Arabidopsis thaliana: one gene and its partner. The protein of the gene in region 1 interacts with the protein of each later gene in a biochemical or structural test. Each region holds a gene or a part of one and is shown in the gene's direction. Other genes may lie near its edges.

The links.
Region 2: the proteins of PEPR2 (region 1) and AT5G51560 form a complex in vitro, tested with the Arabidopsis thaliana proteins (one large-scale study listed by BioGRID).

Annotation. Positions count from the first base shown.
Region 1 is NC_003070.9:6,103,166-6,111,906, forward strand, and holds PEPR2 (PEP1 receptor 2), read left to right. Parts: upstream 1-3,157; 5' UTR 3,158-3,490; coding exon 3,491-6,386; intron 6,387-6,472; coding exon 6,473-6,843; 3' UTR 6,844-6,955; downstream 6,956-8,741. Other genes in the region: PGDH (D-3-phosphoglycerate dehydrogenase), read left to right, coding at 166-253, 479-955, 1,047-1,814; CSTF77 (Tetratricopeptide repeat (TPR)-like superfamily protein), read right to left, coding at 7,043-7,215, 7,390-7,581, 7,681-7,845, 7,934-8,011, 8,099-8,165, 8,261-8,413. UniProt on the Arabidopsis thaliana protein: Acts as a receptor for PEP defense peptides. Unlike typical immune receptors, senses an endogenous elicitor that potentiates PAMP-inducible plant responses.
Region 2 is NC_003076.8:20,942,791-20,950,903, forward strand, and holds AT5G51560 (Leucine-rich repeat protein kinase family protein), read left to right. Parts: upstream 1-2,885; 5' UTR 2,886-3,016; coding exon 3,017-3,455; intron 3,456-4,030; coding exon 4,031-4,291; intron 4,292-4,398; coding exon 4,399-5,259; intron 5,260-5,341; coding exon 5,342-5,823; 3' UTR 5,824-6,149; downstream 6,150-8,113. Other genes in the region: AT5G51570 (SPFH/Band 7/PHB domain-containing membrane-associated protein family), read left to right, coding at 6,721-6,915, 7,017-7,137, 7,240-7,331, 7,762-7,858, 8,071-8,113.

The DNA of each region.
Region 1 (8,741 bases):
TATTACAATTTTTAAATTACCTTAATTATTGATTCGGCGTATATAGTGCAACTTGATTAGCAGAAGAATATGGGATTCTTTTTACAATATACAAATTTGTAGATATTTTAGTACACAATATACAAGTGGGTCATTAAAAAATAATCATGCATCATAATTGATAAGACTCAATTATTTGTTTCTGGTACTACTGTTAAGGTGGAATTGTCGTCAGTCAAAGCATCAATATACGATCGAGACAGAAACTGAGAAAGTGTAGACATTACAATACCATTATCTCTTCTAAGTCTTAATCACTTTCACTTAAAAATCACTTTTGTAAAATTTGAGTTATTCTTCTTCTTCTGTAATCTAGTAAAAAAAAAAATTCTAAAAAATAAAATCAATTTGAGTTGAACTGAGATGACTCCTCCATCAAGTAATACCGAGGCGGTTTCTGAAATTTGGACATTTGGATATTTTTACAGGAAAATGGGAGAGGAGCAAGTACGTCGGTGTATCTCTCGTCGGAAAAACCTTGGCCGTGATGGGTTTCGGGAAAGTTGGGACGGAGGTGGCGAGAAGAGCCAAAGGTCTAGGCATGACCGTTATCTCCCACGACCCTTACGCGCCAGCTGACAGAGCCAGAGCTCTCGGTGTCGATCTTGTTTCATTCGATCAAGCTATCTCCACCGCCGATTTCGTCTCCCTGCACATGCCTTTAACTCCGGCCACCAAAAAGGTCTTCAACGACGAAACTTTCTCTAAGATGAAGAAAGGTGTGCGTCTCATTAATGTCGCTAGAGGTGGCGTCATCGACGAGGATGCACTCGTTAGAGCTCTCGATGCCGGAATCGTTGCTCAGGCAGCATTAGATGTGTTCTGTGAGGAACCACCATCGAAAGATAGCAGACTAATTCAGCATGAAAATGTTACTGTGACACCTCATCTTGGAGCTAGCACAAAAGAAGCTCAGGTATCATCACTCTCTTGATCTTGTTTATGTTACTTGTTTCATCTCTCTACACTTCTTTTCGAGTTTATATAATTCCAATGTGATATTTTAGGAAGGTGTAGCCATTGAGATAGCAGAGGCTGTAGCAGGGGCATTGAAAGGAGAGTTATCAGCTACTGCCGTCAATGCTCCAATGGTGGCTCCTGAGGTCTTGTCTGAGTTGACTCCTTATATTGTCTTAGCTGAGAAGCTTGGGAGGTTAGCTGTGCAGTTAGCATCTGGAGGTAAAGGAGTACAGTCCATTAGGGTGGTCTATCGGTCAGCTCGTGACCGAGATGATTTGGATACTAGACTACTTCGTGCAATGATCACAAAGGGAATCATTGAACCGATCTCAGATTCATATGTCAACTTGGTGAATGCTGATTTCATAGCTAAACAAAAGGGTCTTCGTATTAGTGAGGAACGAATGGTTGTTGATTCATCACCAGAGTACCCTGTTGATTCCATCCAAGTTCAGATTTTGAATGTGGAGTCAAATTTCGCTGGTGCTGTCTCTGATGCTGGTGATATAAGTATTGAAGGGAAGGTGAAGTACGGAGTTCCGCATTTAACTTGTGTCGGATCATTTGGTGTGGATGTGAGCCTTGAAGGGAATCTGATACTGTGCAGGCAAGTGGATCAACCAGGGATGATTGGACAGGTTGGTAACATACTTGGAGAACAAAACGTGAATGTGAATTTCATGAGTGTTGGAAGAACAGTGTTGAGGAAACAAGCGATAATGGCGATTGGAGTTGATGAAGAACCAGACAACAAAACACTTGAGAGGATTGGGGGTGTTTCTGCGATTGAAGAGTTTGTGTTTCTTAAACTATAAAGTTTGAGATGGAGTTGCATTGTGGTGTATGGAGAATAAAACTGTGACCCGGATTAAGGTGTTTTATCCAGTGGTTGTTAAGCTGTAGAGAATCTGTGGTGTTGCGAGCGAGTGTGTGTATCTTGGTATTATTACATTGTTCTTGTTTTGCTTTCTTATGGTATGTAATGCCTTTGGTTAATGTCATGTTTCTCTTGTAAAATGCTTTTGCTTATATTTTACGATGAACCGTTGGACTTGAAAACAAAATTCCTCCATCACTACTCAATGGATTCGCATTTGGGTCTTTGGGGGTTTTAGTCTTAGGATGTAGGTGGCCTTGTGATCTTGTGACAAAATGCAATCTGCAAACCTCATTGGAATCTAATGTGAAAACCCTTTGAAGTTAAATTCAAATTTCAACATCATGTAAAGGAAATATACCAAAGAAGTGGAACATATATAAAACTTAAAGAAAAGTGATAGAAGACAGAACAAGGACCACCACTCTCTAAATCCTTATGGTGAAAATCACATTTTCTTTGTCAACTATGAAAATTTATGAACTACAGTATAATTATAGGGTTTGGTGATGGAGACATATATAGAAGTTGTTATTAAATTCGTTTGGGACCTGCAAAAGTGACGACCAACCAACTTAAAATCGAAATGGACAGTATGATATTTCCAAAATAAACGTGTTAAAATGTTACAAACGAATATTGTATACATTAAAGAAAGTATGATTCTTCGTTGGGACTTTTTTGACTTCTCAATACCATGAGACGACCAAACCAAATTGAATTCAGTTAAGGAATTAGATAGATTATAATATGTAATGGTGCACGTCGAATGATTGAGTTATGTTGGTGGAATGAATATAGAATATCAATTTAAAGATGATCATTGAGTCTAATTAAGTTGAGAATGCGTGTTATCTTATTTTAGTAAGAGTAATAGCATCCTCCCAAAATGATGACATTTTGTAATAATGAGAGAAATAAACATAATAATTCCATAAAAGAGAGATATACAAGTGGTTTAAGACTTTTAAATAGACTGATGAGTGCTCCACTATCTTAATATTGTTAACAGGGAAGATCAAAATTAATCTCTCAATCAGTTTTGACATTATGTTTTTAATAAACCATTTTTGTTTTATGTGAATATGGTTTTGTTAATAAAGTACTAGTTAAAATTCTAGTGTAGACGACAGATACCAGAGATCTTGATTAAATTCCAATATATAATGTTTATGAAAGATTTAAATCTAACAAAGTAACAGTAGGATGAAATGTCAATAGAAAATTAGCGTCCAAAGAAGCTTTCTCTTGAATAAGCTAAGAAAACAAAACGTGGAAAATGGAATATTTAAAACCACGAAACAGTCTCCGAGTAGTAATGGAAATAGCGAGAAAGAAACACGAAACAGCGTTGAAGGTCGCCAATTCGTAAAGTTAGGTTCACAATCTCTGACGAAGAGTTAACCAAAAAGCGCGCTCTTTTTCTCTCTCACCAAACTCATCGATCGTTTCTTAAATAATGCAATCTGTTCCTGTCACTAAATCCAGATACCCTTTCAAATCCAAAAGCTCTCTCTTTTTTTTTTCCGCCTCTCATTCTGGGTTCAAGGGTTGTTGAGTGAGGTTACTACGTACGAGTGTTTCATATTTCAGTCTCTTGAGCTCTAATCTCAAATGAGGAATCTTGGGTTACTCGAAATTACTCTGCTTTGCTCTCTCTTTGTCTATTTCCGTATAGATTCTGTCTCTAGTTTAAACTCAGATGGTTTGGCTTTACTCTCGCTTCTCAAGCACTTTGATAAAGTCCCACTTGAAGTAGCTTCGACGTGGAAGGAGAACACATCTGAAACCACTCCATGTAATAATAACTGGTTTGGTGTCATTTGTGATCTTTCTGGTAATGTCGTCGAGACCCTTAATTTGTCTGCTTCTGGGCTTTCAGGCCAATTAGGTTCTGAAATTGGGGAGCTTAAGAGCTTGGTCACATTGGATCTCAGTCTTAACAGTTTCTCTGGTTTATTGCCTTCCACTTTAGGAAACTGTACTTCACTTGAGTATTTGGATTTGTCTAACAATGATTTTTCTGGAGAAGTTCCTGATATTTTTGGTAGCTTGCAGAATTTGACGTTTCTGTATCTTGATCGCAATAATCTTAGTGGTCTCATTCCTGCAAGTGTTGGTGGGTTGATAGAGCTCGTAGATCTGAGGATGTCATATAATAACTTGTCTGGTACCATTCCAGAGTTGCTTGGGAACTGTAGTAAGCTGGAATATCTGGCTTTGAACAACAACAAGTTAAATGGTTCTTTGCCAGCAAGTCTCTATCTACTCGAGAATCTTGGTGAGCTATTTGTCAGTAACAACAGCCTTGGAGGGAGGCTTCATTTTGGTTCTAGCAACTGCAAGAAATTGGTTTCTTTAGATCTCTCGTTCAATGATTTCCAAGGCGGTGTTCCACCTGAGATAGGCAACTGCAGTAGCCTTCACTCTTTAGTCATGGTGAAATGCAACTTGACAGGTACAATCCCATCATCAATGGGTATGTTGAGAAAGGTTTCGGTTATTGACCTTTCCGATAATCGTCTCTCGGGGAATATCCCTCAAGAGCTTGGGAACTGCAGCAGCTTGGAAACCTTGAAGCTGAACGACAACCAGCTCCAAGGCGAGATACCACCTGCATTGAGTAAGCTAAAGAAGCTACAAAGCCTGGAGCTTTTTTTTAATAAGCTGTCCGGTGAGATTCCTATTGGCATATGGAAGATTCAGAGTCTGACACAGATGCTCGTTTATAACAACACTCTCACCGGGGAACTACCAGTTGAAGTAACTCAGCTGAAGCACCTTAAGAAGCTTACACTGTTTAACAACGGCTTTTATGGAGATATACCAATGAGTTTAGGCCTGAATCGAAGCTTAGAGGAGGTGGACCTTCTTGGTAACCGTTTTACAGGGGAGATACCACCCCATCTCTGCCATGGACAGAAGTTGAGATTGTTCATCTTGGGTTCTAATCAGCTTCATGGTAAGATACCAGCGTCTATTCGTCAGTGTAAGACCCTTGAGCGAGTCAGACTTGAAGATAACAAACTTTCAGGTGTTCTTCCGGAATTCCCTGAGAGTCTTAGTCTTTCCTATGTGAACCTCGGAAGCAATAGCTTTGAAGGATCCATCCCGCGCAGCTTGGGAAGCTGTAAAAATCTCTTGACTATTGACCTTTCTCAAAACAAACTCACGGGTCTGATACCTCCAGAACTGGGAAATCTGCAAAGCCTTGGACTGTTGAACCTTTCACATAATTATCTGGAAGGTCCTCTGCCATCCCAGCTATCAGGCTGTGCGAGACTTCTGTATTTTGATGTTGGATCCAACTCATTGAACGGTTCTATTCCATCAAGCTTCAGAAGCTGGAAAAGCTTGTCCACTTTAGTTCTCAGTGACAATAATTTTCTAGGAGCTATTCCACAGTTCTTGGCAGAGCTTGACCGACTCTCAGATCTGCGGATAGCTCGAAATGCTTTTGGAGGTAAGATTCCTTCCTCGGTTGGCTTGTTGAAGAGTCTACGCTATGGCTTAGACCTCAGTGCGAACGTATTTACGGGTGAGATTCCAACCACACTGGGGGCTCTTATCAATCTTGAACGTCTCAACATATCCAACAACAAGTTGACAGGGCCTTTATCGGTTCTTCAAAGTCTTAAGTCATTGAATCAAGTTGACGTCTCGTATAATCAGTTCACGGGTCCAATACCCGTAAATCTGTTATCAAATTCTTCAAAGTTTTCTGGAAATCCAGACCTCTGCATTCAAGCTTCTTACTCAGTGAGTGCCATAATCCGCAAAGAGTTTAAATCTTGCAAAGGTCAAGTCAAACTTAGCACGTGGAAGATCGCCCTTATAGCAGCTGGGTCCTCACTATCCGTATTGGCTTTGCTTTTTGCTCTCTTTTTGGTTTTATGCCGGTGCAAAAGAGGAACCAAGACAGAAGATGCTAATATCCTCGCAGAGGAAGGTCTGTCCTTGTTGCTGAACAAAGTTCTAGCAGCCACTGACAATCTAGATGACAAGTACATCATTGGAAGAGGAGCTCATGGAGTTGTTTACAGAGCTTCTTTAGGATCAGGCGAAGAATACGCCGTGAAGAAACTCATCTTTGCGGAACACATTCGCGCAAACCAAAATATGAAGCGGGAGATCGAAACAATCGGGCTAGTCAGGCACAGAAATCTCATTCGGTTAGAAAGATTTTGGATGAGGAAAGAAGATGGCTTAATGCTGTATCAGTACATGCCCAATGGAAGCCTACACGACGTTTTGCACAGAGGTAATCAAGGAGAAGCAGTTCTTGACTGGTCTGCACGGTTCAACATAGCCCTTGGGATTTCACATGGACTGGCGTATTTACATCATGATTGTCATCCACCAATAATTCACCGCGACATCAAACCAGAGAACATACTCATGGACTCGGATATGGAGCCTCACATTGGAGATTTCGGATTGGCTCGGATTCTAGATGACTCAACAGTTTCAACGGCCACTGTTACTGGCACAACTGGGTACATTGCACCAGGTATATATACTTCTCAACATAACACGTTCGTATTTTGTTCACCGTTACCTTATTCATGCTCTGATGACCATATTTCTATCAAACAGAAAATGCGTACAAGACGGTGAGGAGCAAGGAATCAGATGTTTACAGTTATGGAGTTGTTTTGCTCGAGCTGGTAACAGGAAAGAGAGCACTGGACAGATCTTTCCCGGAAGATATCAACATTGTGAGCTGGGTCAGATCTGTATTAAGCAGCTACGAGGATGAAGACGATACTGCTGGTCCAATCGTTGATCCAAAACTTGTGGATGAGCTTCTGGATACGAAGCTCAGGGAACAAGCAATCCAAGTCACAGACTTGGCTCTTAGATGTACAGACAAGAGGCCGGAGAACAGACCATCGATGAGAGATGTGGTGAAAGATTTGACTGATTTGGAAAGTTTTGTAAGAAGCACTTCGGGTTCAGTTCACTAGTTTCATAAGTTGCAGGTTTATATAGTGTACTGTTCTTTGAAACCACTAATATAATTGTAACTACCATTGAATACCGTGAAGATTTGAGAAACATATATATCCAAAGAGACTTAATTTTATTGCATAAGTTGGAATTGTTGGGGGAAATAAATTACAAGTATTAAGAGAGGCTTCACAAATTTGCCAATCTCAGTATATTTTAGCCAGTGCTACCAGAAAGCTCGCCAGAGAAGGCACTACCATACGATGTGGAACCGGTTGGTGTCTGTGATGATGTTGCGATCCCTCGAGCTTTCCGCATCTGCCTTAGTCTGAAAACATCTGTGGGCAAAGGCTGGCTTTGTACAGTTGCTGTATCATCTTCTTCTTGCCCTGTTAACAGAGAGATAGAATAAGATAAGTAACTATCATTTAACGGTTGTTCTAAGGGATAGTAGAAGTTATATGCATCTGCAGCTAAGAAGTGCCAAACATTTGAGTGATGACATAGTCATGAGCCATAAAATATATATACTTGAACATAAACTATAAGCATATGTAACTTACTGTCTGAATCTTTTCTCTTTGTAGCTCTTCTGTCTCTTGGTAATCTTTGAGACACACCGCGGGTTGGACCCGAGGGATCGTTTTGACTTGGAGGATTGCCTTTAGCAGCAAAACTCTGCTTTACAGTTTGACCTGTTGGAAAGTCGCTCTGCAAACATATCGACAGAACAACATCCACATTGGGTGTTGGACCTGCGAATTGAGAAGATAATGATAAACTAGTTGGTTAGTGGACACTTATTCAGGTGCTCAGTTCAGATACAACTTGGAGTTGGTTTTTAAGAGATTTACCGTCCACAATAGGCAAGTTAGCTAAAAATGCTACCAATGCAGGTGGAGTAGTCTTTGGTATTTCGTCAAATGTGCTGGCTGATCCATGAGTTGCAGTTGCAGTCACAGTACTTGGGAAGGTGTTCGAAGCAGAAGCTGCCACTGGGTTTGCAGAACTAGCAAACTCTACAGTCAAATCATGAGTGGTTCAGAATAAGTTAACAATTCCATTCATCGTGCAGCCAAATATTGCGGCAAAGTGCAAATCAGATACCTGATTTCTTTGTCGGGTCTTGAACAACCATCTGAGATGTATCTGGATAAACAACTTTTGACGAAGAAGCTACACTACCTGTCAGCCCAGAAGGCGGTTTATTTACTTCAGTCATCACCAAAGTTTAACATAATCCATCACACCAGAAAATTAAAAAGAACAGACCTATAGCCGCAGGAACATGAGGTAGATTTGTTTTCCCTGCTTTCTTATTCAGATTCTTCACAAGCAACTATAGTGAACACATTGATCGGTTAGAATTAGTACTTACTAGATGTATCATTAGTAGCTATTTGAGCTAATTGCGATATGTTGCATGGAAAATACCTCTTGTCTGGCTAAATGATCAAGGTCGTTAGAAGTGCATGGCCAAAGATCCATGTAACTGTACCGAGAAACAACATCTTGAAGTGAACTCTCTGGAGGAGAAGACCCCTCTTCCCCTTTTCCAGAAAGTGCTTCTTTCATTCTCTGCTCAACCTACAACAAGGTTGTCATAGTAAAGAAAATTTATGAGCAAAAAACTAAGAAGATAAGCAGACTACTCCATCAAACAGCCACACTTGATACTGGATGTATCGTGGATCTGATTTCAGTAAATTTCATCGTTGATCAAATGTCTCTTTTATGAGGTGCGAGTCTGACATAGTCTATTCTAGCAATAAGTTGAACGTGTCAGCATTTTTAGATCTTCCATGCAACTAAAAGCCAGTAAGATGGAATAGATATAAATGTTTGGACCCTTCAACAAACTTATCATCATAATGGAGTCAACCGAAAAACAACTACAAAAAATGCTAACAAAACA
Region 2 (8,113 bases), on another chromosome or scaffold:
TATTTCCCATAATTCGCATTTGAAGGTTCCAATGAGAATATTTAGAATTTCGTTTTATATTTTACTCTTCACCATACAAAGTATCATTCCCAAAAAAAAACGATAAAAAGATAAAATATCGGATAATAGCTGTTCGTTTGTCCTCGTCAGCATAGTTCCACTAAACCAGTTATCGAAAACTAAATTTAGATTTTAGATACATTTTATAATTATCCAAAAACAAAGAGAAAAAAAATGAGAAGTAAACAAAACAAAACCTGGGAAGGATAAGGAGGATGGGCCCGTCTCAATCGCGGAGCGAATTGCGCGGCTCTCTTGTCAATGTATATATTGATGTGAACACTTTTTAAATATTTTTACAAAACACTTATAAAAAAAACGAAAATGTTGTTTTGTAAAAATATTACAAAACAAAATCCAAATAAAATTTAATTATATACTAGTCAGCAAGCAGAATCGTACAGCTGAGATTGAAAGCTCTCTGCTAAAATGGGCCACTAAAAGTTTATTTTTTGGCTATTGGTGGGTCTCACTTGTTACACTGACGTTACGGTGACACTGAAGGACAACCACTGACGCCAGACAGGCAACACCTGGCATATATGTGGATTTATACGCTGACCTGGCAGTGTTGACTCCTTGTTTTAAATGACACGTCATCTGAGTGTGAAAGAGACAGACGTCGCGTGAATTTTGCGGGACTTTTTTTAACTCCCTAGACCGCGTGTGAAGTGTACGCTCCGGTGAATGGTGAGGCCCATCGTTAGTTTTGGTCGTGTTGCATTTAATTCGTTTCATAATGTTCTTTTGTAGACTTTAGTGGTGAATTTAATTATTTTGTAAGGTGCGATGACTTTCTTGACAGTGGAAATTTTTTCACGTTTTCACAAACATGCATGATTGTTTATTTTCAGTTCGATGATTAGTGACCTGTATTTTAAGTGACAGTGAACAGGAATCTCGTTTTTCACCACAGTTAATTGGGATGCGATTCTTGTTATCTAAGTTAGAATCGTGGATGCGATGATGAAGTTTGTATTTTCTATTGATATTGTTTTACCCAAACCCAAGAGTCGAGAATGAATTTTTATGTCGTTGCTATTTATTCTGAACTTATGTCGTAAATGTTGGGATCAATAATTTAAGGTGACCGAGTCGTGACCCACATGAGTGTCGAGTGATTATTACAGCTTCGGTGAAAACGAGTGAAAAGTGAAAACGCAAACATTATTTTTAGGATCTTCTCTTTTGCTCACGAAGAATTGTAGTACTATTAGATAATCTCATAATCCTGAATGAGTGTTTTTAGTGGGATCACAATCCGAAATGACTATTTAAGCGTTAAGATTCAAAACAACTTCACATATATATAACCTTCAATGACTTCAATTTAATATATAGTTTGAAATTTAGTGTGAAAATCAAAATAATCGAACCTCGTTAATATTTTTAGTTTCATTCATGTTAAGTAATTCAAGCCAATTTTCCTTTTATAGTTTCTCTGCATGCAAATTTATATTTAAAGTGCGTGCATGTTGCATCACTTCAGTAATATGGTAGAATGCAAATTCGTTAACCGTCTCTATAGTTCATGACTTCATGATAGCATAAGAGATAAAATGAATTCAGGGATTTATGTGTAATCATTAAGGAATGAGAAAGTCACATAAAGCATGTAAAATAATTTTTGGGTCGTTATTTTTTTTTACTACGATGAATCTCTGCTCTCTTTTATATATTTTAGTCATGACTGAATAATGACAGGCAATTTTAATAATTTAAGATAAGTATGCGGTATGCCATGATCGGTAGACGGTAGCTCAATACAATTCCGACACAGAAACTAGTTTTTTTTTGGGTATTTGATAATGGGCCTTTTAGCAATTTTCTAAAGCCCAAATTTATTATTCTTGCTTCACGCAATATTGTTTAAAGCCCAATTTAGAGAACATGATTTCCATTCCGAATTCGTCGCCCAGTCACTTATTAGATTAATAGATTGCATTGCATTGCTTGTGCTTTCAATTTACAAATTGTCTCCCAACTCCATCGACACATCTCTTTTTGTGTATATAAGATTCAGACTTGTTATATTTTTTTTATAAATATGTTATTAGCATCTTAAGTTAAATTGATTTTTTATATCTGCATTAAGGATTACACGACTATATTTGCGATTGTGTGTTGGTTAAAATATAATTTAGGATTGTCTTTAACTACATTTAGGATTATATGACTATATTTGGTTAAATATAAAATCTAGCTGTGATTATTAGTATTCAAAAATAAGTAGCCTAACCAATTAAAACAACGGCTATTGGGGCAAATTAGAACATTTTAGTGTGTCCAAAATATAATGGTCATTAGGTCATATTCCTCCTAGCTTCATCGCAGCATAATTGAATGATTGCCTTATTTAGAAGAGCTTTTCCACTTTCCCAAAATCTATGTGGGATCTTTTTGTTTTGACCTTCATTTTTCTTGTTTACCATTTTTAGCTAAATTATTTACGATTACAAAAGATATCAAAAGTTGGATCATAATACAATTTATAGACTTACTGTAGAAAATTCGTATGTACAAGTACAACAAATTCTTCATAATAAATTTTGAAAATTCTATTACAAATGTTGTAAGAAATAGAATTTGAAATATATATAAACTAAGGAGAAAAAAAAAGAGAACATGCATTGCTCTAGTCAGAGTGGACCAACATCAACGAGATAAGATAACATAAAAACCAACTCACCATAACTAAAAACATCCCAAGAGATCCAACGATTCATATCAAACACAAAAACATCGAACGATCAGATTTAAACCATCTCTGGTATCTCCAAAACACAAACACTTTTTTTTTTCTTTTGTCTGAATGGAACAAAAGCATGCGACATCTCTGTGTCTTTATCTTCTCTCTCCTCTTCTTGAAAAACTGAACCTTTAATTCTTTCTTCACATCTCCTTTAGCTTTCTGAAGCTGCTATCTTCAAGCTCAAAACCAAACCCTAGAAATAAAATGACGGCGACACAAATGCTGCTTCATCTTCTTCTTCTTCCACTTCTCTTCCTTCACTTCAGCAACCAAGTCATGGCAGAAATCACCGACGAGTTAGCGACATTGATGGAGGTTAAAACAGAGCTTGACCCAGAAGACAAACACTTAGCTTCATGGAGTGTTAATGGAGATCTGTGTAAAGACTTTGAAGGTGTTGGTTGTGACTGGAAAGGACGAGTTTCTAACATATCTCTACAAGGGAAAGGCTTATCTGGTAAAATCTCTCCGAACATTGGAAAGCTTAAACATTTGACGGGTTTGTTCTTGCACTACAATGCTCTTGTTGGAGATATTCCTAGAGAACTTGGTAACTTGTCGGAACTTACGGATCTTTATCTCAATGTTAATAATCTCTCCGGTGAGATTCCTTCAAACATTGGGAAGATGCAAGGCTTGCAAGGTTAGTTCTTTTTTACTTTAATTTTAATCTTAATCATTGATTAAACTTAAAACCTAAATTTAGCATTGTTAGATCTTTGGTTTCTGCAAAATTCTTGTCCCAAGATTAATCAATGTTCTGTGGAGATTTGAAACCTAGAAATCTGAGCTCCTTGTCTTAGGGGTTTTAGTTACTTCATTACTATCTCTGGTAGTTGAAATTATTTGAATTAGATGATTTTGGAATTTAATGCTTTAATGATCTGTCTTTAAAACGTCCTTTTCATGTCTTTTTGTTAGGATTTTTCTTTTTGTAATTTTCCTGTAAGGAAGAATAGTCAAGAACTTTTTAAGATTCAAACTTTTAATTGGAACCATAAATGGCTTACTGGTCCCAAAATATGGACTTGAATTGAAGATAACTTGTACTTCTCTTGATTAATTTTGTTTATTTAGATAATTGATTCACTTACTTTCAAAAGGCTTTATATTTGAGCTTTAATTAGCAGGACCAGGTTTCTAAATCTAGAATTAGTTCTAAGTTAATGTAAGTCAAAGCTAAGCTTCATTCCTTTTTTGGTCTATGTTGTTGTGTAGTTTTGCAGCTCTGTTACAACAATTTGACTGGAAGCATTCCTAGGGAGCTTAGTTCACTGAGGAAGCTGAGTGTTCTTGCTCTTCAATCTAACAAACTCACTGGAGCTATACCTGCGAGTTTAGGAGATTTAAGTGCTCTAGAGCGGCTAGATTTGAGCTACAATCATTTGTTTGGTTCTGTACCAGGCAAGTTAGCTAGCCCTCCTCTGCTTCGAGTTCTCGACATCCGCAACAACTCCCTCACTGGCAATGTACCTCCTGGTTAGAAAACTGATTCACTATATGATCTTTGAAACTAACTTTGCGTATTTTGTGAAGTGTTTCTCATTTTGGTTTATATTTCTTTCTCTGTTGTACCGATTTGACAGTACTGAAGAGATTAAATGAAGGTTTTTCGTTTGAAAACAACTTGGGACTATGTGGAGCTGAGTTCTCGCCGTTGAAATCTTGCAATGGCACAGCTCCTGAGGAACCTAAGCCATACGGTGCAACCGTGTTTGGTTTTCCATCCCGGGATATACCAGAATCAGCTAATCTACGGTCACCTTGTAATGGAACAAACTGTAATACTCCTCCAAAATCTCACCAAGGTGCAATCCTTATTGGTTTGGTTGTCTCGACTATTGCATTGTCTGCTATTAGCATCCTCTTGTTCACGCATTATCGCAGACGCAAACAGAAGCTTTCAACCACTTATGAAATGTCGGACAACCGTCTCAACACCGTAGGAGGAGGTTTTAGGAAGAACAATGGTTCTCCATTGGCCAGTCTTGAATATACTAATGGTTGGGATCCACTTTCAGACAATAGGAATCTCAGTGTCTTTGCTCAAGAAGTTATCCAGAGCTTTCGATTCAATCTTGAAGAGGTTGAAACTGCTACACAGTATTTCTCAGAAGTGAATTTGCTTGGAAGAAGCAACTTCTCTGCGACTTACAAAGGAATCTTGAGAGATGGTTCTGCTGTAGCGATCAAACGGTTTAGTAAAACAAGTTGCAAATCTGAAGAACCTGAGTTCTTGAAAGGACTCAACATGTTGGCGTCTCTGAAACATGAAAACTTGTCAAAACTTAGAGGCTTCTGCTGTTCAAGAGGCCGTGGAGAATGTTTTCTCATCTATGATTTTGCTCCTAATGGAAATTTACTGAGCTATCTTGATCTCAAAGATGGTGATGCGCATGTTCTTGATTGGTCCACGAGAGTATCCATTGCTAAAGGCATCGCAAAAGGTATGAGTTTTATTTATGCCGAACCAATTTTGTTAGCGTTCTTGATTCATTTTTGTTTATGTGTTTGATGTTTTGTGTTTAGGGATTGCTTATCTACATTCATACAAAGGAAGCAAGCCAGCATTGGTTCACCAAAACATCTCAGCGGAGAAAGTTCTAATCGACCAGCGATACAGTCCTCTACTCTCAAACTCAGGCCTCCACACACTTCTCACAAACGACATTGTCTTCTCTGCACTCAAAGACAGTGCAGCAATGGGCTACCTCGCTCCAGAATACACCACAACCGGACGTTTCACCGAGAAAACCGATGTCTACGCTTTCGGGATTCTTGTGTTTCAGATAATCTCCGGGAAACAGAAGGTTAGGCATCTTGTTAAGCTTGGAACTGAAGCTTGTAGGTTCAATGATTACATAGATCCAAATCTTCAAGGAAGATTCTTTGAATATGAAGCCACAAAGCTAGCTAGAATCGCGTGGCTATGCACTCATGAATCTCCCATTGAAAGACCATCCGTGGAAGCTGTAGTTCATGAGCTAGGTAACTGTAGTAGCTGTCTCTGAGAACTCTCTCGAGGCAAATGTGTAATGTGTACCTTAGGAATCAATTAAGGAAGGGTTTGTTAGTCACCTTTTCCTGTGTTTAGGGTTAAGAAAAAGGTGCCTTTTCCCTTCCCATTAACGTTTAAAAACTGTTCAACGTGTTGTACTTTATTGGTTTGTATGATTTGTGTTTATGTTAAGCTCTTCAACCTTAGAAGAAGACAAGACAAGTACATTACTTTTAAAAAATTTCGGTAGATGGAAAATATTTATGGTACTTTGTCTTCTTTTTTTTTTATAACTTTCTGAACCAATTTATTGTCAATAATTCAATATAGAAAAAAAATAACGTATAACATTTTTTTTTCTGATATTGATCAAATCAATATCAAAAGAATTGATTTGTTAGATGGTTTTGATTTAGATTTGGATATGAGCTTTAACTTTTAAGTCTTTATTAGTCATCTAGATCTAGATACAAATTTATAAATATAAAGTCAAAGGTTAACTATTAGCATTGGCCACCAGATTCGAATAATTTACATGATTTTTCTAGACTTCAGGATTAGATTTTGGACCTAGTAAATTTTTAGAATTACTTGAGTTATTTGAAAGAAATAAATTAAATTATTAGTTGTCCACAAAAGACAGAAAAAAATATCAAATTATACTTTTCATTGGTCAAAAAAGGATTATACCAAATATCTAAGGAAGGAAGATATTGTTGATATAGCTAATTAATCAGTAACTAATCCTAACCGTCCATTTCTCCTCAAACCGCTTGATCTAACGGTAGCAAAAGGCTTCGATCACATAACACCATTTGTTTCCATAGAAACGAACGAGTCGTGGAGATTTATAAGCGAGACTTCTTCTTCTTCTTCTTCTTCTTCGAAAGCTTGAGAGTGCTGCGTAAAAATGGGTAATACGTATTGTATCTTAGGAGGTTGTATTGAACAAGCTAGCGTTGGTGTGGTCGAACGTTGGGGTCGATTCGAGCATATAGCTGAACCGGGATGTCATTTCTTCAACCCTCTCGCCGGTCAATGGCTCGCCGGAGTTCTCTCCACTAGGATCAAATCTCTTGATGTCAAAATTGAAACCAAAACTAAGGTTCGTGATCACTTATTCCTTTTGATCCTTTGCGAATTTTGGTTAATACTGTATGTGGTGAGATTCATGTAAATTAGGCTTATTGTCGTTGTTGTTTGTAGGATAATGTGTTTGTGCAGCTGGTTTGTTCGATTCAGTATCGTGTAGTGAAAGCTAGTGCTGATGATGCGTTTTATGAGCTTCAAAACCCTAAAGAGCAGATCCAAGCTTATGTCTTTGATGGTAATTTTTTTGCTTCTCTGTTGATGTTTTTTGTTTCTTTGTTTGAAGAAGCTCTGTTTTGATTCTTGATTTGTTCTTGTATGTTTGTTTTTTGAATCATAGTGGTTAGGGCTTTGGTCCCAATGATGACGCTTGATGCTCTTTTTGAACAAAAGGGTGAAGTTGCCAAGTCTGTTCTTGAGGAGCTTGAGAAGGTATAACATCTTGTTCCTTCACTATCTCATTCATTTGTATGTTTAGAGACTATTTATTCATAATAGGATATAAGATATCTGTTTTGAGATTCTTGATGTTTTGTAGTGATCCTGCATTTGTTGAGCTAACTAATAGGTGGATTATCAAGTAGGCATGTTTGGATTTCATAAAGAAAAGTTACAACGTTAAGTATATGTTTGGTTTTGTTCAAGACTATGTTTTCATTTGTGAGATTCTTGATGTTCTATCGTGATCCTGCATTTGAGATAACTAATGGGTGAATACTGAGTCTTGTGAAGTGTTATCATAGATATGTGTGGATTGCATAGAGAAAAGTAATAACATATATTCGAGGGTAGCCTGCTTTCGAGACTGGTGAAGACTTTTGTAATGGTCATGACTCATGATTGGAGTTGTTTGTTTCTTCAGGTGATGGGTGCTTATGGATACAGCATTGAGCACATTCTAATGGTTGACATTATTCCTGATCCCTCTGTACGCAAGGCAATGAACGAAATCAATGCAGGTAACCTTTATTTCCGATACTGAGGGAATCAGTGTCTGATACTTTTCAGGTCTCTAATGGTTCCCTACACATCAAAGCACAGAAAGATTTATACATTTTATGATTATAGGACTCAGTTAGATGTTTCGTTAAGAGTTTATGCGAAGTTAATTTACAGTTTGTTGACTTCATTTCAATTTTGCTTCTCAAATCCATTCTCTACTTAAATGCAGCACAAAGGCTCCAGCTCGCGAGTGTTTACAAAGGAGAAGCAGA